Linked DNA regions of Sus scrofa. The protein of the gene in region 2 interacts with the protein of the main gene of each other region in a biochemical or structural test. Links are inferred from orthologs where the notes say so. Each region holds a gene or a part of one and is shown on either strand. Other genes may lie near its edges.

Region 1 (6,495 bases), on a different chromosome or scaffold from region 2:
GCTGCATCCTTGTCCTTGTTAACATTAAATAGAAATGGAAAAACAATTCATCCTGGCAATTACCATCCTCCACCATCAGTTTACTTCCTGTTCCTCCAACTTAACCACCTCCAGTTTCCACCCTCTGACTTCCATCATGCCCCCAGCCCCACATTAAAGAAAAAGATCTCCTCCAACAGAGATGGGGCAGAAGGAAGAAAGAAAGGATTAAAGAGAAAAGGAACATAGTTTACCTTTAAAATAATGACTCATTTTATTTTTTAATATGTAGTTATAAATATATTTTGTCAAAATATATGATCAATATGGTCAAAACATTTGCACATAAAGTCATAAATAAGGTCAAGGTGAATGTTTAGGGTTTTTTCCTTTTTTTTTTTTTTTTCTTAAAGATAAAAGTCCAGCTATAAGGAAGCGGTCTGTGTAGTGTGTGAGTGAGTAGTGGATGGGGTGTGTGTGTGTGTGTGTCTGTCTGTCTCTCCCCACGGAAGGCCTGATTCAGCGGCAACCACATCCCTCTACTACCATCTCCTGATAATTTTTCAGTACCACCTTGTCATACTCATCCAGGTATAGCATGGAGATGGCACTCAGTTCGGTGGGAACACAACAGGCTTTGGGGATACTGGAATTAACAGAGTTGACCAGGGTCTGAACGATGGCATGATTGGTTGAGTTGAGGTGGTCAGCCAGTGGAAAGGGGCAGTCCCCATGGCAGTAGAAGGCCTGGTAGCCTGGTGGAGCCACAATCCAGTCATTCCAGCCCACGTCACTGAAGTCCACATAGAGCGAGTGGCGCCGGCAGTTCTTATTCTTCTTCCGAGCCCTCTGTGGGTGATGCTTGGGGCTACGCTTGGCCCTCCGGCGTCGGGTCAAGGCATGTCCCCGGCCATCATGGCCAAATGTGACCAGGAGGGGCCGGAGCTGGGCCCAGTCCCCACTCCCTTGAGGTAACGATCGGCTAATCCTGACATGCTGGCCCTGGTGGGTCCGTGTCTGATGGAGGTGGGTCACCTCAATGGCCAGCCCATAGTTTGGCTGCTTCTCCCGGGTCCAGCGAAGGACCGCAGGGCTCACATCAAAAGTTTCCCACCGTGTCACATTGTGGTGGACCAGTCTCGTGTCCAGTAGTCGTGTGATGAGGTGTCCAGGCACCACTTCTGGTGGGGGCTTCATAACCTCATAAATGTTTATACGATGGAAGCCCTGCTCCCAGTCAGGGCCCTGGTCCACCTGCTCCCGGAAGAGTCGAAGCTCTGCGGATGAGATCACCTCGTTCTCTGGGATGCTGCTGAGGTTAAAGAGGAAACGAAAAGCAGAGTTTTCGCTGGTCCCTGGGATGTTCTCCAGATGTTCTAGGCACAGTTGGGGAGGAAAAAGAAAAGAGAAAAGAAAAAAAAGCCCATGAGCTTTTTGAGAGACTGAAAAGTCAAGAAACAGCTAAGAGCTGGGTGATGAGTGGGGAACTCTGCTTATACAGTGGAAGCCTACTAGGGGGAAATAAACATACCTTTTAATTTGAAAGAGCAGATCAATGGGGCAGCTAGCAAACTAGTGAAGCTTAGATAGCATTCAGCAGGCACCAAAGACAATCTCCCAACCTCCTTTATATGTCTAATAATTTCCATGTGTCAACTCCTTACTCCACCACCATAAGACTCCCCTTTTAAAGCCCTCCTGGCTTTGTGTACACAGTTTTCTTTACAAGTGGTTGTAAAGAAAAAGAGGGGCCAACAGAGTAGAGGCAGGAGGGAACATGCACACAACCACCCTCTCCCTCTTCTTCCACTTTCGAGTATGTTACCAAACATTTCCCCAGTGATCTTTGGAAACACAGAGCATGCCTTGTTGATCATGTTACAGAGAGGGAAATAAACTCCAACACAGTAATGATGCTGGTGGATTAATAACTCAGATTTACTTTGGAAAAGAAACATCCGCTAGGAAACATTCAGATCAGATTACAAGGCCCCTATTGAATAAACCTGACAAACACACAGCTGTAATATTAAATTCAGTAGGTGCTTTGGAAAAAAAAATGCGCAGAAAATCTGGCATAAAAGGCTTTGATATCACAGAAGCACACCTCTGGGGCTAGCCAGAGACTTGAGCGGTGTCATTCTCCTCCCAAACCCCTCCCCTCCGTCTCCAAAAAATAAACTGGGCCACAGCTCTGAAAATCCTTGGAGGTGAGCAGCTCGGTTCCCTAGCCTCCTGATCTGGGGCTTTGATGTAACCTGAACTCCTCTCCCCCAGAGCTGCCCTACCGGCCCTCCACAGCCCAGACCCTGAGCTGGGACTGACCTTCGTGGTGGAAGCTTCTCACGGTGTTGGCCCGACTGGCAGGGCGCTCGGGATACTCGAGACCAACGCTGTGGGTCTGCTCTTCCTCCTCCTCCTCTCCAGACTGAAGCCGGTAAAGATCCCGCATGTAATCTGGGATGACGGCGCTCTTGCTAGGCTGCGGGCGGCGACGCAGCCCGAACATCTGCAGAAGTGTAGCCTCGAAGTCCCGAAGGAGCTCATGGCTCTGCCCTGAGCGGCGTCCTCCCGCGTGGCCCTGAATCTCGGCGACTTTTTTCTTCCCCGTCTCAGGTATCAAACTAGCATGGCTCGCGCCTCCTAGCAGGACTTGGCATAATAAAACGACCATCAGCATTCGGTTACCAGGAATCATGGTGTCTCTAGGGAGGGGGAGGAGGTGGAAGGTTAAAGAATAAATAAACACCAATAACTAGAGAAAAATAGAGATGTCTCAGCAAACTCATACAGGGCTAGACAGAGAGGGTCAAGATGTAAAACAGGTCAGAAAGATCAAGTTTGTGTCTTCCCCCTCACACACACCCCACCACCAGCTGCAGCCATGCGCGGCCTGAAAGTAGGAATTGCCCTGTAATTACTTGGTCTAACTTGTTTACAGTCAAATAACCCCAAATCAGATAGCCTCCATCCTGTTAATCTTTTTTTGTCCCAACTGCTATCTGAGCCATGATCTCAGCTTGGCTTTTTCAAGGATAAACAGTTAACATTGAGGAGGTAAAAAAGGATGGGGGAGGGAGAATTAAAATACCATCTCTCTACTCTCCACTTCAGACCTTCAGTCTCTCCCCCCCCTTCCTCCACCCCCCTTCTTCCTCCGCCCTCCGAGCCGACTTCCACAACTTCCAGCTGGTTCGGAGCAGGAGGGAGGGAAAACAGAGAAGCAGGGGCAGGGCGAAGACACCCGGCGGCTGGGTCTGGAAGGTTTATTTTACGGGGGCTGATGAATTTGAAATGCCCAGCAAAAAGCGTTTGATTGAGCCCGCTCACTCACTCCCAGAGAAGGGTGTGTGGGGGGGATGATTCCAAGAGCGACGTCTGAGTTTGACAAGCAGCTGGGAATATGCCACGGGGGCACTGGGTGATCCGCAGTCAAGTGGGAGAAGGGGATGGTAAGCACCCCTGGCTGCGGACTTTTCTTTTTTGCCCCCTTTCGCTCTCCTTCCTTGCAACGCACAGATCAGGAAGAGAGTGGAGCAAGCAGCACTTTAAATAGAACCGGTACGCTCAGAGCGCAGCGGCTGCGGCGCCAAGAAGAAAGCGACAGCGCTGCCAGAAAGCGGAGTGTGGACTCTGGAAGGCAGGTCCGACGGGAGGGACACAAGGCGAGCACGGGTGGGGAGGGCAGAGTGAATTCCCGGGAAGAGGGAAGGAAGAGGTGTCTACTCACTGACAGAAAACAAGGCATATAATAACAGTCCATGATTCTTGACAGCCAATCTTGAACAAACTTGCTGGAAAGGCTCAGAGGAGCTGCGGCAGTGCGTTGCTCTGGATGGCACTACAGAATGGCTCCTAAAATGAATATTTGAATATAATGAGACTGGCGCAGGCTGACTCTGTTTTTCTTCCAGCCCCTCTGAGTCACGTGAATGCAAAGACTCCGCCCCGCGCACCGAAGCGTCCGCCTTCCCCGCAGTGGACCCGCCCCATCTCCGCCCCGCCCCCTCTCTGAGAGGCCAGCCTCCCCGCCTGCTGCCCCAACCACCAGCGTCCGGGAGGAGCTCCCGGCCGAGTCCTCAGCTGGTCCCCGGGTGCAGCTGGCGGAGGACGTGGTCCTCGCCTCTACCTGCAGCCTCCGTCGTGTCGGCCTGATCCCTCCCGCCAGCTGCCTTAGGCGAGAGGATCTGGGGAGCACGGTAGGGGCTTCGCCTTTCAGTGTGAGCCTGGCTCAAGTTGGGCCGGGATTTGGGGGCGGCGGAGTCTCAGCAGCTGAAAGCCGCACCACCCAGGGTCGTTTAAAAAGAAAAGCACTGAAAGACAGATATACACGTGCCGCGCGCACCCACCCCTCTTTCTCCCCAGGATCTCCGAGAGGCCAAAAATTGCTCCCAGCTACAGTCACCCCCTGGCGAACTTCTGCGAGTGTTTAGAGGAATTGAGCAGCCTCTTTAGCTCCCGACCAAAAGCTGAGGACCTGTCATAAGTGGTCGGAGGGGTAGATGGTCAGGCGGTGACCAGTGTGGGAACGTGGTAAGGGAATGGCCGCTGGGCTCTTTCCTCCGGTTCCTTTACGGAGAGAATCTCCACACCACGGCGTGCCCACCGAGCAAAGTAAATCCCCAAAGAAAGCGGTCCTGAGGCCCTTAAAGGCGGAGGGGCGGACTCAAAAGAGAGGCGTCTCCTCGGAAGGGCTCAACACTTGTTTCAGGTCTCCAAGTCTCAGAGGTTTTACAACTCCCGAGCCAGGGCAGAAAGGAAATCACAATGGGTTCCCAGGAGTCCAGAAAACCGTGAACAGCTTTCGGCCTACGCTCGATCTCTGCGTCTGTCTTTCCCCCCACCCCCACCCCAGCTCGTCTTTTTTAAACCACTACTCCTCTCCCGCCACTTCCTCCCCCCCCTTCCTCCTTTGCACCAGCTTCAGAATCTCAGCAAATGCTTCAAGAATTTTACCAACCCACCGCTCAAGGTATTACTGTGATATCCCGACTCTATCCAAAGATGCTGCATGCGTGGATCACTCAATACAGGGTCCTTTCCGAAACCGTGACCCTCGAAACTGAATCTGCCCGGCCTGCGCAGGGGTCACAGTCGCGCGATCCCGGCTGCACAGCACACTGTACCCTGCCGCCCTTTCCTAAGCCTGTTCCCAGTTTCTGCCTTGGGTCTATTCAGAGCTCGAAGGCTCAGGTTCCCGGCCTCACCCAGCAAAACTCGGTTTTATCTTGGGGGCACTTGCAGGAGGGCCTGGAAGAAGTGTGAAGGATCAAACGCTTAGCCCTCCCTCCCGGCCGCGGTTGTCCCGCGCGGCCCTACCCGTCGCTGGCCTGGGTGTGCGCGGGCGCCCCTGCGCGACGATCCTTGCCCGCCCAGAGCTGCCGCCTTTTGAGCGCCTTTAAGTTTTCCCGCTACCGCGCCACCGCTGAGGCTGACTGCGAACGGGTGGGAAGAGCAAAGAGTTTCGTTGAGACGCCTGGAACCCTTAAAATGCACCGGGGTGGGGGGGAAAGCTCCAGAGATGGGAGAAGCAGAGAAGGGCAGCTCCCCGCGGGCGAAGGACAGTGGAAGGGGCGGGCGCCCGCAGTTCCTGGACAATCCTCCGACCCTAGAAATCCCAGGGCTACGGCGGGAGCGCGCTGCGCTAAAACTCAGAGGCGAGGGAAGAGCGGGTTGTTTCAATTTCGGACTCAATAGGATTCGTCTCTAATCACATTTTTTTTTAATTAAAAAAAAAGCTGAAAAGCACTTTCGTCTCCAGCTTTTTTCTTTCTCTCTCTTTCTTTCTTTTTTTTTTTTTTTTTTTTTTTGAGGGGTGGAGATGCAACTCATGGCGACTGTCCTTCACTTCCCTACGAGTTTTCTCCCAACGCCAAAATTTGTTCAGAGGTGACCTCAGTTTACCGAATCTGTTTTTCGGGGTTTTAACATCTCAAAAAGCCTTGAGCTCACAAAACGCGATCCTCAGAAACCTACCACGAAATCGGTGCCCGGGAAGCGTCTGAGGCCATGGGGATGGGTCCGCAAAGATTCGTGAATCCCGGTACCCTTTCGAGTTGGTTTTGGGGCCGGGAGGGTCAGTAAGAGCCACGAGTCCACGACGCATCTCCCCAGTGCCTCCCCAAAGGACACGACACCTCAAGAAGCCGCGTACCCAGAGCAGCTAGCATCCTGGCCTCCCTACAGCCACTACCCGGTGAAATGATAGAGGAGAGGCTCCTTGGATGCCGCCAAGTCCAAGATAATAAATAGCTCATGGAGAAGAAGCGTCGGGCAGCGGCAGTTCGCCAGCTCTCAGGGGTTTTCGCCGGCTGAGTGCCGGGTCGGGTGACACTCCCCTAGACGCAGCCCCTCCTGCAGCGCACGCACGCCCCAGAAGCAGAACTGCGCTCCCCACTGCAGAACCAGCCTTAGTTAGGTGTACTCTCGCCGCCCATCAGCCCCCTCACTCTCTCTGGATCTCAGAGCCGTCACTCCCCCTTCGCTCCCGGCCCTTTCCGTCCTGGGATTGCCAAA
Region 2 (4,589 bases):
AAAATGCATTTAATCGTTCTATTCCATGCTCAAAGTGGATCATATTTTAAAGGCTCAAGGCATTAATATTTTTCAGAATAATGACATAAACAATGGGGTACAAATTTTCTAGTAACTTACCCTTCCCATGTGTCACAAGACATTTTTACTAATATGGAACCTTGCCATAAGGTATGTCAACATTTCTATAATACAAGCCATTCAAGCAAGGGGCTACTGATTTATGACAGCCGAATCCCTTCAGCCCATTTCGTAGTCTTTGTTTTTTCTTTCTTTTTTTTTTTTTATAAGTGCTATCAGTCTAAACAATCTTTTTTTTTTTTAGGGCCGCACTCACAAAATATGGAAGTTCCCAGACTAGGGGCTGAATTGGAGCTGCAGCTGCCAGCCTATACCACAGCTCACAGCAACTCCAGATCCTTTAACCCACCGAGTAAGGCCAGGGATTGAACCCATATCCTCATGGATAGTAGTCGGGTTTGTTTCCACTGAGCCACGACGGGAACTCGGAGAAGTCATTTTGTATAATGATGACTGTTAAAGATTTTGGTGAGCTCTTCTATATTGCATTATAATCCTTCTAGGGCCATAAACCAAGTATCAAGTTGCTAGAGGCCCCACAGCACAATGCTATAGGCACATGGGAGACTCAGCATATAACTCCTAAAAAAAAAAAATGACATTAAAAACCATGAAGAACTTTATAGTTTCTTGTTTTATTTATTTTTTTTTAGAGCTGCACCTAAGGCATATGGAGTCCCCAGGCCAGGGGTCCAATTGGAGCTACTGCTGCTGGCCTATACCATAGCCACACCAACGCAGAATCTGAGCTGCATCTGAGACCTACACCACAGCTCAGGACAACGCCAGATCCTTAACCCACTGAGCCAGGTCAGGGATCAAACCTGTGTCCTCATAGGATACTAGTCAGATTCATTTCTGCTGTGCCACAAACTGGAACTCCTATGGTTTCTTTATATTGACTTTTCTGAATTTTCTATGGACTTTTTAATAAATACTAATATGCTCAACAAAGTTTCAAAAGTGATACTGGCATCATCTTACTTGGATTGTTTAAACTGGTCAGTACTTTATCTCAACTATTCATAGTAAGTATGTGAGTTGCATTACAAACCAGCAGTTACATAAGACAAATTGCTAACTATTCCAATTATTGTGACATTATCTTTTAAATTATAAACAACAAAATTATTTGTTTTATACAACATTTTAATTACTTCTGAAGTCCAACCAAATGGCTTATTTTATTTTTTGCTTCTTTCAGGGCTGCACTGCAGTATATGGAAGTTCCTAGGCTAAGAGTCAAATCAGAGCTGCAGCTACTGGCCTATGCCGCAGCCACAGCAACACCAGATCTGAGCCATACCGGCAACCTACACTATAGCTCATGGCAAGGCCGGATCCATAACCCACTGAGCAAGGCCAAGGATCAAACCTGCATCCCTGCATACTAGTCAGGATTGAAACCTGCTGGGCCACAATGAGAACTCCCAAATGGCTTATTTTATTTTGAAAAGTAATATAAAATAATTGCTAGTTGAAACATAATCTGTTTCTAACTAAGTAGTTACTTAAATGGTCCCAAAAGATTACACAATCCCTCCACTTACACTGCAAACTGCTGCCATCAAGGACATTTGTGGCTGAAAGATCCAGAGAATTAGGCCTCTGTGCTCTTCTGGGCTTTGACGGTGCAGGGTCTGCTACTGTGCTTGGAACACCCTGTGTAAGACCTTCTTGCTCTGAACATGGATTGCTGTTGTTGTTATTGGAATTAGTTCGGCCGCCTTCCAGTGGTCGTTCCCTCCTGTCCACCAGACGATCCAGAACACCTTCATCATGGCCAGCCTGTTGCTCTCGTCTCAGTAATGGTTCATGCTCATCAGGACTGGAATTAATATTCAGCCGGGTGTCCTCACCAATGAATTGATTCTGCAGCATTTCTTGGGTTCTATGTGCCACTGTGTTGGCTGTCTGGCCAGACGGAACTACCCCATTGACATACTGGGTAGTGGCAGCATGAGAGTTAATGCTGTGGTTTCTACCTGCCACACCATTCATGGTGACCGTCACCACATGAGGTTCTGCAGCATTGATTGTATTCATCTTGGCAACTCCAGTTTCTACTTGTTTCAAGTTTGATTTGTGCTTGCTGCCAAATTTCAGCCGGGGCTCCTTTGTTGAATTTTTGGTGTTCAAAGGCAAACTAGTAGGTCTCTTAGGAAGGTTCTGTTGCTTGGGGAGAGGATAGATCTGAGCGGGTGGGACATCAGGAATTAAACATGCTTGGCCATTTGCAGCCTGTGCGAAGTCCTGCTGTCCTGTCACTTCTACTGCAAGCTTTATGAGTGGGTAAAGCAAGCTAGAACTGGTACTGCTCAGGGGATCTGGCCCACTAAACTGTTTAAGAGAATGTTCCATGAGATTCTCATCAGAACTTTCTTTGAGGTTTTTATCAACTTCTTTTGGGTCCAGCTTGTTGGTCTCCAAGTCTTCTTCTGTCAGTTGTAAGCAGACGGGGGTTGGCCCGATTGGCTGTGAGACATTTGTGGCATGCAGATTTGCTTCATCTGAGTATGGCATCTCAGATATAGTGGTCATGCCGGTGCTTGGAGTGAGGCCAGTGGTGTTTGTGGTTGTAGTGTTGGTAGACAAGCTGGTGACACTTGTTTCAGGGCTGGGGATTCGAGCTTGTGCTTGCTGCCGTTCATAGTTAATTGAATTTCGGTTCTTTTCCCCTAAAGTCAAAGGTGTGCTGGACATTGAATGCTCAGAGGAGATATTCTTCACAATGCTGTCAGTGTGATGGATCGAGTCTTCAATGTATGAGGAAGAAGAATAATCTGGATAAGGGCCAATCTTTGGCACACGCCTGTTGTGGGATAGGTTGCTTAAAGAAAGAAAAAAGTGCCATGTTGAGAATGTACATTTATGACAAACTGACTCTCAGAGTTTAACACCTCTGATTTTAAAGAATAATTTGCTTTTAATTTTATTCCTAACCCACATTATTCTAAAGGTTATTTAATAATTCTAATCAAACAATCAAATGTCATTTAATACCTTGCTAAAGGCTAGTTTTGTATGATTTAAGCCTACCAAAAAGCCTATATGGATCTAGACATGATTTATATATATACTTATTCTTTAGGCTTATAAAAGTTATTTAAAAAAACTCCCCTATAGTTTTGTAACATTAGCAAATATACCTTTATGAATTGAATACTTGCACAACAGACATAAAAGTTCCATGAGAGGAGTTCCCATTGTGGTTCAATGGTTGACGAATTCAACTAGGAACCATGAGGTTGCGGGTTCGATCCCTGGCCTCGCTCAGTGGGTTAAGGACCCGGCGTTGCTGTGAGCTGTGGTGCAGATCGCAGATGCGGCTCAGATCCTGCGTTGTTGTGGCTATGGCTGTGGCTGGCAGCTACAGCTCCCATTAGGCCCCTAGCCTGGGAACCTCCATATGCCGTAGGTTGCGGCCCTGAAGAGGCAAAAAAAAAAAAAAAAAAAGTTCCATGAGAGAAGGAAACAAGGCGTGTGTCTTTTACATTTCCATAATTCTAAATATACAACTGCTACTCAACAAATATGTTACCAACTAAGTTCCAAATAGTAAAAAGAACATAATCTTTTAGGTTGTTTCAAAGTGCTACATTAAGACGCATAGTCTAGCAAAGGAACTTATCTTCCTAAGGTAGACCGAACCATTATCAATGAAAGTCTTAGAGCCTTAGGGTATAAGGCAGAATGTGACACTCAAAATAAAAAAATAAATAAATAAATAAATCAAAGATATAGAACTGCTCTCCAGTTATCAAAGGTTCTTCCCTGTTATTGTCACATCTTGAGAATGGTGGTTCTTAAACATCACACTATAACATATTTGCTTTAAAAAAAAAAAGCCAGGCCAAGATATGGAAAAAACCCAAGTACCCACTGATAGATAAATAGACAAAAATGTGGTATATGCCCAACAGAATATCAGCCATAAAAAAGAATGAAATCTTTCCATCTGTGACATGGATGGATCTAGAATGTATTATGCTAAGTGAAATAAGTCAGACAGAGAAAGACAAATACCATATGATTTCACTTGTATGTGGAATCTGAAAACCAAACCAAATAAAACTAAACAAACAGAATTACAGATACAGAGAACAAACAGGTATTTGCCAGAGAAGAGGGGGTCAGGGAAGGGAGGAAATAAGTGAGAAATGTTAAGAGGTATAAAATTCCAGTTGCAGAATACATGAGTCATGATGACATACACACTCTAAGGAACAGAGTAAATAACTATGTAATATCTTTGTAGGATGATATACCGTAACTAGACTCATACTGGTGATAATTTTTGAAATGTATAGAAATACCAAATCACTATGTTGTGTAACAGGAACTAACACAGAGTTACAGGTCAACTGTACTTCAAAACCAAACAAACAAACTCATAGAAAAAGAGATCAGATTTGTGGTTACTAGCAGCAGACAGTGGGGATAAGGTTACTAGCAGCAGAGAGTGGGGATAAGGAGAACTGGATGAATGCAGTCAAAAGGTACAAACC
Region 3 (5,879 bases), on a different chromosome or scaffold from region 2:
TTCTCATGGACTGGGTAACCACTCTGCAACATTCCTGAGAATTGAATAATATAATAATCTTGAAAGTCAGCAGAGTGGATTATCCACTTTTTTTTTCTGGACTTGAACTTGTGACCTTAACAGTAGCACTGCAAAAAAAAAAAAAAAAAAAAAAAAAAAAAAAAAAAAAAAAAAAAAAAGCAAATGTGCTAAGCACTTTGCCAGAGTAACCTTCCATGTAGACTTTTCATCTTAAATACACACAACGAAAAACAACTACAATTTTTGGAAAATTATGTACAAACCCAATACTTCTTTCGATTACATATAAATACAAATTAGCTATTTCTCCTAAAAAGTGGTTATAATAGTAAATAAATACAAAATAAATCTGACCATTATACTTCATGTGCTGGGGTTGAACCCATATAAAATGTACAACGAAATACATTTTAAAATCTTTAAGGAATAATTCTCTGATTAAAATATTTGTTTTCCCAACTTCTTTTCGTAGATATAAATATATTTTCAAAATAGCTGTGTTTTTTTTCTCCATTCCATTCCATAAATAAAGTCTTCATTGGGAAATATTAAAGTGTCAACTTGATTTTTTTTTTTGTTTTTTCTAAAATATATATATATATATTTATTTTTATTTTGCTGTGCTAACGACACCCACAACCCTCCACAACCATGTCCTGGTAGTTCTTTAATACCACCTTTTCGTTCTCGTCAAGGTACAGCATGGAGATGGCACTGAGTTCTGTTGGGACACAGCACGCCTTTGGGATCTTAGAGTTAACGGAGTTGACCAACGTCTGGACGATGGCGTGATTCGTGGAGTTCAGGTGATCAGCCAGGGGGAAAGGGCACTCCCCGTGGCAGTAAAAGGCATGATACCCCGGGGGGGCTACGATCCAGTCATTCCAGCCCACATCACTGAAGTCCACGTACAAAGGGTGTCTCTTGCAGCTGGATTTCAGGCGCTTGCGCTGTTTGTGTTTTGCTTGACGCTTTTCCCTTTTGTGCAGAGGGTGTCCTTTCCCATCGTGGCCGAAAGTGACTAGCAAGGGTCTTATTTGTAACCAGCTGTGCTCATCTTGGTGCAAAGACCTGCTAATCCGCACATGCCTCTTGGAGACCTCCGGGCTGTCCTCCGGGTGGGCCACTTCCACCACGAACCCGTGGTTGGCGACCCCCTGTGCAGTCCACCGCATCACAGCGGGGGTGACGTCGAAGCTCTCCCACCTGCTGGCATTCGGAGTCACCAACCTGGTGTCCAAAAGTCTGGTCACGGGGAACTTGGAGTTGGCTGTTGCAGGTTTGATGATTTCATAAATATTAATTCGGTGATGGAAACTGCTACTGTTATCCAAAGTCTCCTGTGTCTGCTCCCGAAAGACCTGAAGTTCTGCTGAGGTGATAAACTCCTCGGTGGGGACAGAAGTTAAATTAAAGAAGAAGCGCCGGGTTGTTTTTCCACTCATTTCTGGCAGTTCTTCCAAAGATTCTAATTTGATACAAAAAAGTGGAAAAAAAAGGAAAATTGTTAGGACAAGTGGTGACAATCTGATTGGATAGAAGGATTTATAAACCTCACTTCAGGGTTTGATTTCTCCCACGTCAAAGTTTGCAACCAGAAAATTTAAATTTTCCCCTTTTGATAAAAAAAAAAAAGGATCCTCCCTTTTCTATACATTTATGTCAACATATGTATTGTGAAACAAAAGTTCCTAATTCATTGTTACATTTTTAATCCAACACATGAATACTGCTTCCAGGTGGCTATAATAATGGGGGGAATGGTGAAGCATTTCTTTGGAATTCACAGACTTTAGGGCAAAAAGAAAAAGTCAGCACTGTAGTTAGTAGAGGTCTAATGAGTGAGGATTTGAGGAAATTATTGCATTTCTTAAAAAGAAAAAGGCTTTAATGTCAATCCCTTAAGCGGTATTCTAAAACATTACTCTGCAATTTAGATGATTTACAAATCTCGATATACAGATTTCAGTTTCCTAATTAAAGACTCTGAAACTCAACATCCACGATGACATTTTGCAAAGCACACCCTACTATTTTACTCAAAAGTCCAGAGACAAAGGCATTTACAGGGATCTATTTCTTTGGAAACATAAGGGTGGTACTAGGTACTAGGGCATTGTAATAATTAAGGCTAGACATTTCAAGAGAAATAACTCCCCGGTTTGTCTGTTCTCTCACCTCCTTATGACCTCAAAAATCAAAAACTTACTTCCGATGCTTTTGGAAGAAAAAAAATGACTCTTCTGTTGTAATTCCTTTATCTTTTTAAAAAAATAAACCATGTTAAAAAACATACCTACCCTAAAATAGGCTTTGGGAGAGAGAGGGAAAACCAAAAATAATTTATAAAAATCAACGGAAATACCATTATGATATTTCTGGTGTAAGGGAAAATCTATTAGAGAATAATTTAAAATCTATTATCATTATTTCAAAATAGTCATTTAAGTGGGGTATACATAAAAGTTCTTCCTGATTTAAAATTCCAGAATTTCAATTTTAAGGAGTAAATTGCTTCCCAAGCAAACAATAAACTATAACACAGTACCTTGAATGCTGCAGCCTGCACATCATCAAAGGTATGTGTTATCATTAAATTAGTAGTAAATGGCACTAGACTTTGAGATATGTGGGTTGACCTTCTTCTAGCTTTACTACATCTTGTCATTCCACTGTCAACAGTTTTTACCTGCTTCATTCAGGATCCAACCTGAGTGCTAACAAAATCTGTTTGGCCATGGTGCATGTCATCACCATAAGAGGAAGCCCTACTTTCATTAATTTTCTGATTTTACTTCTACACCAAACAGCTACACTTCCCTCACAGAATTCAGATGCCTTGGCAAAGGAGAATCATTTCAGTCACTCACTCAAAGGTTCTACCTGTGTAAACATCATCAAAACAAGAGTCATCACTGCAGCTAAGTGGATGCACGAGGTCAACAGGGGCGGCTTACATCAAATTATGGAGGAATGCTTTAATGTGATGCTTCTCAAACTGCAGCTGCGGTGCAAAACACCCAGGACACCGTGAATCTTCAAATGCAGATTCTGATTCAGTGGGTGAGTCTGGGGTGTGGCCTGGGAATCAGCATTCCAAGCAGCTCCCAGGTGAGACAATGCTGGGGACTCGTGAACCAGCCTTTGAGCATAAAGGCTGTAAGGATGTTTTTCACATTCACGTATAAATTACCAATTACCAGGGACATCGTTTCAAGTGCCTTTTTAAAAATAATAGAAGAATAAATAGAAAAACCATTAGCATTGGCCAAAAAGGAAGAGGTGAGGCCATAGGTGGGCAGCCAGACTCAGAACAGAAGGATTTAAAGCCCATCTACTTGGTCAGGGAGACCAAGAGGTCCGAAGTATCTTCCATGGGCCTCTTGGGCCTGCTAACCCACACACGGAGGAGTACCTTTCAGGAGCCATGCACACCCTAAAACCACTGCCGGCTAATGCTACTTCCGGCCAGGCGCTATTTTAAAAATAATCCTCCCACCAGTGGAAGCAGGGCTCTGGTCCGTGTCTCCAGCAAATATCAAGGATGGTGTTTACCCCCGTCTTTCCACTCCCCTTGGCAATTCAGGAGCCCTCGGTTGCTTCTGCTGAAAATATTCTTTCATCAGAGTAGCCCTTGGCTATCAGAGGAAAGAGGAGTGATGTAAAAGTCAGCAGCATCCTCCGGACACGAGGACACCAAGCCAGGCCTAGACCTGGGCTCCTGACTTTGCTGAAACCAGCACACCTAAGAATACTGGCTTTTCTTTTAAATAGAGGAAGGAAAGGCACATTATCCAGGGCCTTTGGTAAGCAGCTGTATTAACATAGGTGCCCAAAGAAACCATAACGGCAACAAAACTCCCAAGTTCAAATCCATAAATAAGAAAGAAAGAAATTCTAAACATACACACACACAGCCAAGAGGAGGGGGATAAAGAAATAACCTCCAAGGTAAGCATGAGAGACAATGAAGTAAAGAGGGCGGATGTGTATCAAAGAGGCATTCAATAGAACATAACCCTCCGAAAGACTACTATTAGACTGAATTATATAGGACAGCCTCCATTCAGCCAGATTTGACCTATAAAAAACAATTTTGGAGTTCTCTTATGGCATAGTGGGTTAAGGATCCAGCATTGTCACTGCAGTGGCTCAGGTGCTGCTACAATGTAGGCAGGTTTGATCCCTGGTCTGGGGACTTTTATGTCACAGGCATGGTCAAAAAAGAAAAAACATGCTATCTCATGAATCTGCTTGAAGGTGAGCGGCAGAAAGGATAGCATTTAGCAAAGGAAAAAAATTACACTATTAAATATAAATAAGTAACGTGAAGATCTTTCTCCAACTTTGCAGCTTCACCTCAGTTACCCTAACCCCTGAAGAAATGCTATTCCTCCTTATACAAAGGCCTCTATGAAAATACCCCTAACTGCAGGCTCAGGTCACAGAGATAAGTCAGAAGGTCACAGGAACCCCCCCAATCTCAGGAAAACAACTGGCCAAGGTTAGGGCACCTACTACTCTTTCCTTTGATCTACAAGAAAGCATGATTTTTTTTTTTTTTCCTTGAAGGTGGAAAAAAAATCAGAACCTTTTGAAATGGCGTAAAGGAAAAAAAGCTGCAAACCATCACAACCAGCCTGGAGATACTGAAAATATAGAGCATTTACCTAAGTAGGTAATGTATGTTTTTCTGAAGGCATATACAGTTATTAATTCTTGGTAAATAACCCTTGTTGAATAAGCTGCACCTGCCAAGGGATTTAAGGACTCTAGTCTACCTGAGACTTAGGTCCTTGAACCTTTACGTTCTTATCCAAATGGATGGAGCTATGGATGCAAAATTGTAGAAAAATAAAGGAACCCAAGGCAACTGTGACTTTCAACCTCTCCTCCAAAAGGGAAGTTCCACCTTAATCATTTACACTTCAATTATTTGTCTACATCAAAATAATCCAAAAGTTGAGATGGAATTCCCTCAGCTTGCCTAGGTCCACTCTGGCCTCTTCCATAGGCCAGGAGAGAATAGGACATAAAGAAAGAAGTTATCAGAGTTCCTGTCATCGCTCAGCAGTAACAAACCCAACTAGTGTTCATGAGGATGTGGGTTTGATCCCTGGCCTTGCTCAGTGGGATAAGGATCCGGCGTTGCTGTGAGCTGTGGTGTAGGCTGGCAGCTACAGCTCTGATTTGAACCCTAGCCTGAGAACTTCCATATGCCACGGAAGTCAAAAAAAAAAAGAAAGAAGTCATCACGTTAATGACAGCAAGTGTGCTCATTGTTTGTTTGTGCCAAGTCTAGCAGTAGAACTTCACAGGAACTATCTTATGATGACTAAATTAAAGAGGAACTGTTATTAGCTCCTTTTTGTAAATGAAATAGTTGGAGCTCAGAGAGGTTACATGACTTTCTTAAAGTCACAGAGCTAGTAAATGAAGAGCATAGCTACAAACCTGAGTCTACTGCAGGTCCCAAGTTTTTGGCCACTAGACGGCACCATCTAACACAGGGGAGGAGTCTAAAACTCAAGCAAAAGTCAAAACCCTTAGAAGCTGATTTGTGTTTAATACTACAATGATAACCAGAGGGCAAATTCTGTTCCATCTAAATGGACAGAAATACACTACTCAAGAATGGTAGAGAGAGCAGACAGAACTAAGTAAGCAGAAAAGCAAAGTGGTAGGGCCCACTGGGATAGATAGAACTTGTTTGGAACTACTGATATTTTGTGGCTGCCTTTTTGTCCTACGGTATGACAAGGTGTAACAAAAAGTGAGTTGTCATTACATTTTGAGAACTTTGCAACACTCTTTGAACAACAACAACAACAACAACAAATGTCCATTAAGAAAACAAC
Region 4 (6,531 bases), on a different chromosome or scaffold from region 2:
TGGAGTCAGCCTGGGCCCACCGCTTCACAGCACTGGACACCTCAAAGGTCTCCCAGCCCTCATCCCGGATGTCCTGGGACACCAGGAAGGTCTTGGTTCCCTCAGAAGCTCCGTCCAGAACATCATAGATGATCATGTTTCCTTTCAGCTCATGGGAGGCATCCACGTGACTTTGACAAGAGAGGTAGAGTCGGAGCTCAGCCCTGGTGATCTGCTCATGCCTGGGAACGGAGATATTGAAGAGCAAGATGTGTTTCTGGAAAGGGAAGTCTTCTGTGGCTGAGACAGAGACAGCATCTGAAATGCAAATACACAGTCATGGGCATCTGTTGGGAGGGTCTCGTTTCATGACACCAAAGCTGAGGCTCATGGTTTAGATGAAAGGGCATCTGAGATGACATTGTCTGTCTCTAACAAATCTCCATTTGGTTTCCCTTAAACCCTAAATGTAGAAGGGTATTTAAAAAGGTATATTGAGCATCTTTCAAAGAAAAACAGAGGCAAGAGATGCTTTGCATTGATGTTGACAGGTATAGCTGTTTATTGAGCACCTACTGTGTACCTAGCATTACATACTATGTTTCACTTTTCTCTTCACATTAACCCTGGGAGGATCTTATTATTATTCCACTTTTACAGATACAGACACTTGGATTCAGAGTGTTTAACTGTAATTGCATACATCCTGGAAAAATTCTCACTTTACAAAACAGCAAAGCTCACTGTCAGTCTCAGAGTGCAGATCCTGAGGGTATAATTTTAAAGGAGAGATCCTGGGAGAGGACAGTGAAATTCCAGCCTAAGATGATGTTAAAACTCTCAGCATCTAAGTGGTATAAAAATCACCCAGAATTGTAACTTCTGAGCAAAATGAAGGTAGGTGATTATTTATTTATTTATTTATTTTTGTCTTTTTAAGGCTGCACCTGTGGCATATGGAGGTTCGCAGGCTAGGGGTCAAATCAGAGCTACAGCTGCCCTCCTACGCCACAGCCACAGCAAAGCTGGATTCAAGCCGCATCTTTGACCTACAGCAAAGCTCATGGTAACGCTGGATCCTTAACGCACCGAGCAAGGCCAGGGATCGAACCTCATGGATCCTAGTCAGGTTTGTTACCCCTGAGCCATGACGGTAACGCCGATTTTTTTTTAATGTTTGAGGTAAAAAAAATATTAACCTCAATGGCTTAGTCACATTTGGCTCAAAGAGGGCTTGCCTTTTAGCTACACAACTGTCTCACTTTCCCACTCCCCAGGCTGCTGCATGGCCACCAGCACATTTATTATACCATGGTTCGGTCACAAAGAGAGAAGTGTTGTGTTTTTTGAGCTCCTACTATGTGCCAACGTGAAGGAAGACTGGGTGCTGTTGTGAACCTGGCCATGCCTGACAGACTGAGTGCCAATCTTGACTCTCCCGAGTTCCTCTGGGCCTGTTTCCTCATCTGGAAAATGGGGCTCATCTGTCCAGCCTCCCAGGGTCGGTGTGAGGCTTTGACAAGAAGGTACATGGGACTTGCCCTACGCTGTCTCTGGCTCACAGCAGATACTCAATATTTCTGTGTCCTTCTTGCCTATGTATGCACCCTAGCACATGCCTTTCATATATCTCTGTGTCCCCTGACCCAGAGTGGACATGCCATCCTAGTTCCTGTGGTGGGTGGCGAGGCACTATAGCATATGTGAGTAGTGAGTGCAGTCTATGAGCAGTGTTTCAAGGACCCACTATGAACATGGCCATGGGAGCGCATCAGACATCTAGAAAACAAGGGCCTCCCTGCCTGAACTGCACTCAGGCTGTGTGAAGGGAAGCATAACTGGCCTCCATAGGAGTGCTGGCCACAGGCAGAGCTGGGATCAGATCACTTGTTTCTGGGACAATGACAATGCTGGGGGCGGGGTGTGGGTGGGAAGTCACTGATATAGCTCCAACACTGCACTCCTAGACTATGGGATTTGGTGATTTGGTGATTTGGTCCAGCCAAGAGAGCCCAGCCTTCCCCTAAAGCAGAGGTTACAGACATGCACCAGTGAGACATTAGCAGCATCTGGATGACCTGAGACCGCATTAAAAAAATATTAAGCCAGCGTTTAAAAATCAAGCAAGTTCATATAAACTCCAGGGACATCAGAAAATATAGCAGAAATTGGCACAATATTATAAATCAACTACACTTTAATTTTAAAAAAAAAGGAAATTAAAAAAAGAAAATACAGTCTTGCTGGGCACGTGGCATGACCACAGCATCCTTTAAATAAGGCATACATCTGTTAGGAGTCTGCAGGTCCCAAGCCCAGGAGAGAAGAGGCCCCGAGTGCTTGGCTGGTTAGAGAGAGGCTGCAGCTGCAGAAAAAGGCTGAGCTGGGCAGCCTTAACTAATGTTAGTTAAGCGGTCAGCTGCTTAACTAACATGTGAACTGGGCAAGTTCCCTCAGGGTCTGCAAGCCTTGACTCCCCTGCTCACAAGATCTTGTCACCTACGTTGTGCAAATAAATTAGTAGACTTAAGTCCTAAGTTGACATTTATTATCTTCTAGTCTGCCTAAGTCAGGATAATTATTTAATGTTTGGAAAATAAGTTGTCCTCCAATGTTTCTCTCTTGAAGGAATTAATCTGAATTTTAAACACCTTTTGATGAGAGAGAAGCAGACATTCTTTCGGTGTTCAAAAATATACCAGTTGGTTGGATGGTAAATAAGCTGTCTAAGCAGGAAGGGGACAGTATGGCAAAGAGGAGGTAGGAGAAAGGATGGAAGAAAGGGAGCTGACATTTCCTCAGCACCTCTGGTGTTAAATGTGGCTTTGGGCCCAGGGAGGGAGAATCTTCTAGAGCAGAGCTGTCCAATAGAAATGTCTGCAGTAAGGGAACTGTTCTATAATCGCCACTGTCCTATAGGGCAGCAATTAGCCATGCATGGTTGCTGGGCACTTGCATTCAAGCTAGTGAAACCAAAGAACTAAATTATTAATTTTATTTCCTTTAAATTAACATAAATGGAAACATCAAGAGTCCCATGTTTCCACTGGCCGCCATATTGGGCAGCAGCATCCATGGACCACTGAGCCCCCCGCCCCCACACCAGGCGCCCGGATGGGCTGACTCTACCTTCTACGCTGAAGCTGCGCACGATGTTGGACGCGGGGGTGGACGTCTTGTCAGTGGTGTATCTGTTGTACAGGTCAATCATGTACTGCGGTGGCTCAGCTCGGGTTTTGTCCTGGGAGGGGACCCCGCTCAGGTTGAGACTGCGCAAGAAATCCACCTTCATGTTTTCCAGGAACATCCTCAGGTCGAAGGTGCCCCGTTCCTGCTCACCTCCGGCCCCTCCTAGCAGGCGGTGGGCATCTCCCCCAGCCGAGGCCCTCACCCGGCTGTCCAGTGGCTTCCCCTGCGTGGAGCACACCAGCAGGGAGAGCGCCACAGGCAGGGCCACCCAGAGCACCCCGCGACACATCTTGGGGTGCTCTCTCCCTGCTTCAGAGACTGCGGCAGCTGCAGTGTGTTAGCGGGTGCGGGGAGGAGCCCGGAAGGAGCCGGCACGCATTGTCCTGCCCACAAGCTCTCCACCGCGCACCCCACGCGCCCAGGCCCGTTCACAGGCTCTCACCCACCCGCCGTCCCCGGAGTGCCCTCCACTTGTTCTTATCTGGCCCTTGATGCTGTGTTCAGGCCTCTTATCTGAGGGAGAGCTGCGTTAATGAAGGCTCTATAAACATCTGACAAACACACAAGACTTGTGGGAAGGACAAGGCCTGCTGCAAAGAGTCTGAATTTCTCTGTGGGGTTATCGCCCCCTAATTAGGATCCTTTCTCATTTCCTTGCCAGCTCTGTTCAGAGGCATCTTGAGACTGGGTGACATATGTTCCATCTCCTGGGCCAGGGGAACAAAGAATCCAGGAAACAAACAAGACCCAAAAGTCCTCCAAATATAGAAAAAACAGCACAAAACTCCCAGAAGACCCCTGCTAACCACTGGGACCTAGTGTGGGCAGTGGGGTGGGAACCTTATGTCAGAGTTAGTAAGAAGCCTACTTCCTGTGCAACTGCAATAAGCACTTGTGGCTCAAGTACCTTGTGTCTCGGTTTCTCGTCTGTCCAGTGAGCTCATGGGTGAATGTGGCACATAGAAGTCAGTGAGGTTATGGAGACTTTGGGTCAGACCAGATTCGGGTTCAAATCCCAGGTCCCTCACTTACTCCCCACAAGTGTGTCCTGGAGCAAGTCATTTCACCTCCCGAGTCTCTGGTTCGGGAGAGAGTTGTAAGATTTAAGGCGATTTGTGCTAAAGGTCGTGGTAGTCACCGTAAGCCCGTCAGTTGGGTGGCTGCATTCTGGCTGCCACTTCTCCACCTTGGGTCTGACTGAGAGAGGAGCTAGGGAGGCAGCCCTGTAGAGATCCTGGCCTGGTCTCTATGAACACCACTTACACGGTGAGACCTGCTGGCCCCGGGATCCCAGAGGAGCTCTGTCACTGGTCTCAGATGGGGCTGATCTTTGCTCATACTCATGTCAGCTGGGCGGCTGCATGAACCACACTTGTCAGTCAGGAGAACCGTGCCGTCTGAGACAAAGGACAGGGAGGGGGGAGCTCTGAGGCCAGGACATGTCCAGGAGACGTCCCCCTGGCCTAAGGAAGCCAACAAGCTGTGGCGCAGTCTGGGCCTGTGAGGTTCCGGGGTCTGCGACATTTTAGAACAGTGTGCCCACATTCAGACTCTGTCCATTTCCATCACTTGCGGCTTGATCACAACAAAGGATGAGCAGAAAAATATTCTGGGGGTCAACTTTGAGGAGTATTTAAAGACAAAGTTTTCCCAAGCTGGTGGGGCTCCTGGGAAGGGGTTACAGTGAGTGGAGGAGGTTCAGGAAGATGAACAAGGGGCCAGCGCAGGCAAGATCAGAGATCCCAGCATGCACCATCCCTACTGGGGGTGGGCTGAATCCAGGAAGGCCCAGTGGCCGGGTCTGGACAGAACTTGCTGTCCCTATCCCCTGGGACACTGCCAAGGAGGCTGGATGGGAAGGGTGCAGCTCCAGAAGTACTGCTTGCCGAGGAGGGCAGGAAGCATGCTAGGCTTTGAGCCAGCTCTGGGCAACAACTCCCTGAGGCGGGGAAAAGATGAACCCACAGCCCAGGAAGTGGAGCTGCAACTTCACAGCAGGGATCGAGCCTGGAGGATCTGGGGAGCTGGGCTGGCATTCCCCACAGGGCTCCAGTCTCTGCGGGCAGCCCAGAAGCCTGTCACATTCAAGAGGCGGAGCCAAGGGAGAAAGGGAGCTGGCCTGAATGTGTTCTCAAAGCTGGAGGAGCTGTTATGTTTTCTTAAAAACATGACAGATTTTTTTTAACCGATTATAACAGTAATATAGTACAGATAATTTGGGAACTGCAACACATTAGAAAGGAGGAGATAAAAATAACCTGTGATCTCACCATCCAGTAGGGACACAGTTAACATCTTGAGATATATGCAGCTCCACAATCCCCTTTGTTGTTCATAGGGTTTACAGAAGGTTTATAGGAGATAACATTTCTTTATCCTTGGAGATCTAAAAGTATATTTACTTTGCCTTCAAAAAATAAAAGAGAAGAGTTTTTGTTTTTTTTTTTTCTTGTGGCAGAGTTTTAAGATTCAAGAGTGCTTTGAGTTTCAGAAAGCTCCAGATTTGAGAAATGGTATGGAGTATATACTGTAATATCCTCAGTGGAGTTCAGGACAACATCCTATAACCAAACACATTAATATTTCTCTAGGGAAACAAATAAAAACACAAATGTCCACTTAGGTCCAGTTTTGCCCTGAAAGGAATTGAAAGAGACTTCAGGTTTTCTAATAGTTTCAGATTTGGGGATTTCATATAACAGGACTGCAGACCTGTTTATATATGGGGTCACCACACTGGGCCATGGAGGCTGCATGTGAACCCTGTCTGGAGGTCCTGGTCACATAGACTGGGTGAGGATGGTACCACCAGAATTTTGCATTGTGGCTCTGTATTTCTGGAATGATCTGCCCCATAAACTCAAGAGTATCAATATGTCCACATCTCCTTTCTTTTATTTAAGTCATTGCATGAGCCCTCCTGATTCCTATTATTGAAAGTCTGGTCTCTCAGAGCATCCCTTTCCTGAACTGTCCAAGGATGCTGTAGTGATGGTATAGTTCAACTTCTTACTGCTGGAAGGGAGGCATGGGCTAGGGGTCCTGGCAGGTTCTACCTGCTGTTGCTTCTCAGTGACATCCAGTCTTGATGTTGGGTGCATCCCACACATCTTATAGCTACTGGTGCACAGAAGCTGGGATGCCCTGGCTGGTCCAGGTATCTGCCAAGGTTCCCATGATGTCTGCCTTTGGGCCCCAAGGTAACAGCTTTCTTAGACATACTAAGCTTGCACTTTCTCTGGAAGGCATTCCCCTGTGGCAGGTGACTGAGTTGAGGGGCCAGCCATGGTCACTCTGATCCCATCCTGCTGTCTCCCATAAATGTCTAGGTTCTTATGGGGAGCCTGAGTTACCAGCCTAGGC

Evidence for each region.
Region 1: the proteins of BMPR2 (region 2) and BMP4 form a complex in vitro, tested with the Homo sapiens proteins (2 studies listed by BioGRID). The link is inferred for Sus scrofa from reciprocal best matches to the Homo sapiens genes BMPR2 and BMP4.
Region 3: the proteins of BMPR2 (region 2) and BMP2 form a complex in vitro, tested with the Homo sapiens proteins (4 studies listed by BioGRID and IntAct, with this or other methods). The link is inferred for Sus scrofa from reciprocal best matches to the Homo sapiens genes BMPR2 and BMP2.
Region 4: the proteins of BMPR2 (region 2) and GDF2 form a complex in vitro, tested with the Homo sapiens proteins (2 studies listed by BioGRID). The link is inferred for Sus scrofa from reciprocal best matches to the Homo sapiens genes BMPR2 and GDF2.

What each region holds. Positions count from the first base shown.
Region 1 is NC_010443.5:183,415,761-183,422,255, forward strand, and holds BMP4 (bone morphogenetic protein 4 precursor), read right to left. Parts: upstream 3,859-6,495; 5' UTR 3,835-3,858; coding exon of another isoform or gene 3,710-3,834; exon of another isoform or gene 2,685-3,709; 5' UTR 2,678-2,684; coding exon 2,305-2,677; intron 1,356-2,304; coding exon 499-1,355; 3' UTR 234-498; downstream 1-233.
Region 2 is NC_010457.5:106,127,066-106,131,654, reverse strand, and holds part of BMPR2 (bone morphogenetic protein receptor type-2 precursor), read right to left. Parts: intron 2,912-4,589; coding exon 1,632-2,911; intron 1-1,631. UniProt on the Homo sapiens protein: On ligand binding, forms a receptor complex consisting of two type II and two type I transmembrane serine/threonine kinases.
Region 3 is NC_010459.5:15,755,923-15,761,801, reverse strand, and holds part of BMP2 (bone morphogenetic protein 2), read right to left. Parts: intron 1,490-5,879; coding exon 645-1,489; 3' UTR 1-644. UniProt on the Homo sapiens protein: Growth factor of the TGF-beta superfamily that plays essential roles in many developmental processes, including cardiogenesis, neurogenesis, and osteogenesis. Induces cartilage and bone formation.
Region 4 is NC_010456.5:88,509,779-88,516,309, forward strand, and holds the start of GDF2 (growth/differentiation factor 2), read right to left. Parts: upstream 3,639-6,531; 5' UTR 3,458-3,638; coding exon 3,109-3,457; intron 877-3,108; exon of another isoform or gene 298-876; coding exon 1-297. UniProt on the Homo sapiens protein: Potent circulating inhibitor of angiogenesis. Signals through the type I activin receptor ACVRL1 but not other Alks. Signaling through SMAD1 in endothelial cells requires TGF-beta coreceptor endoglin/ENG.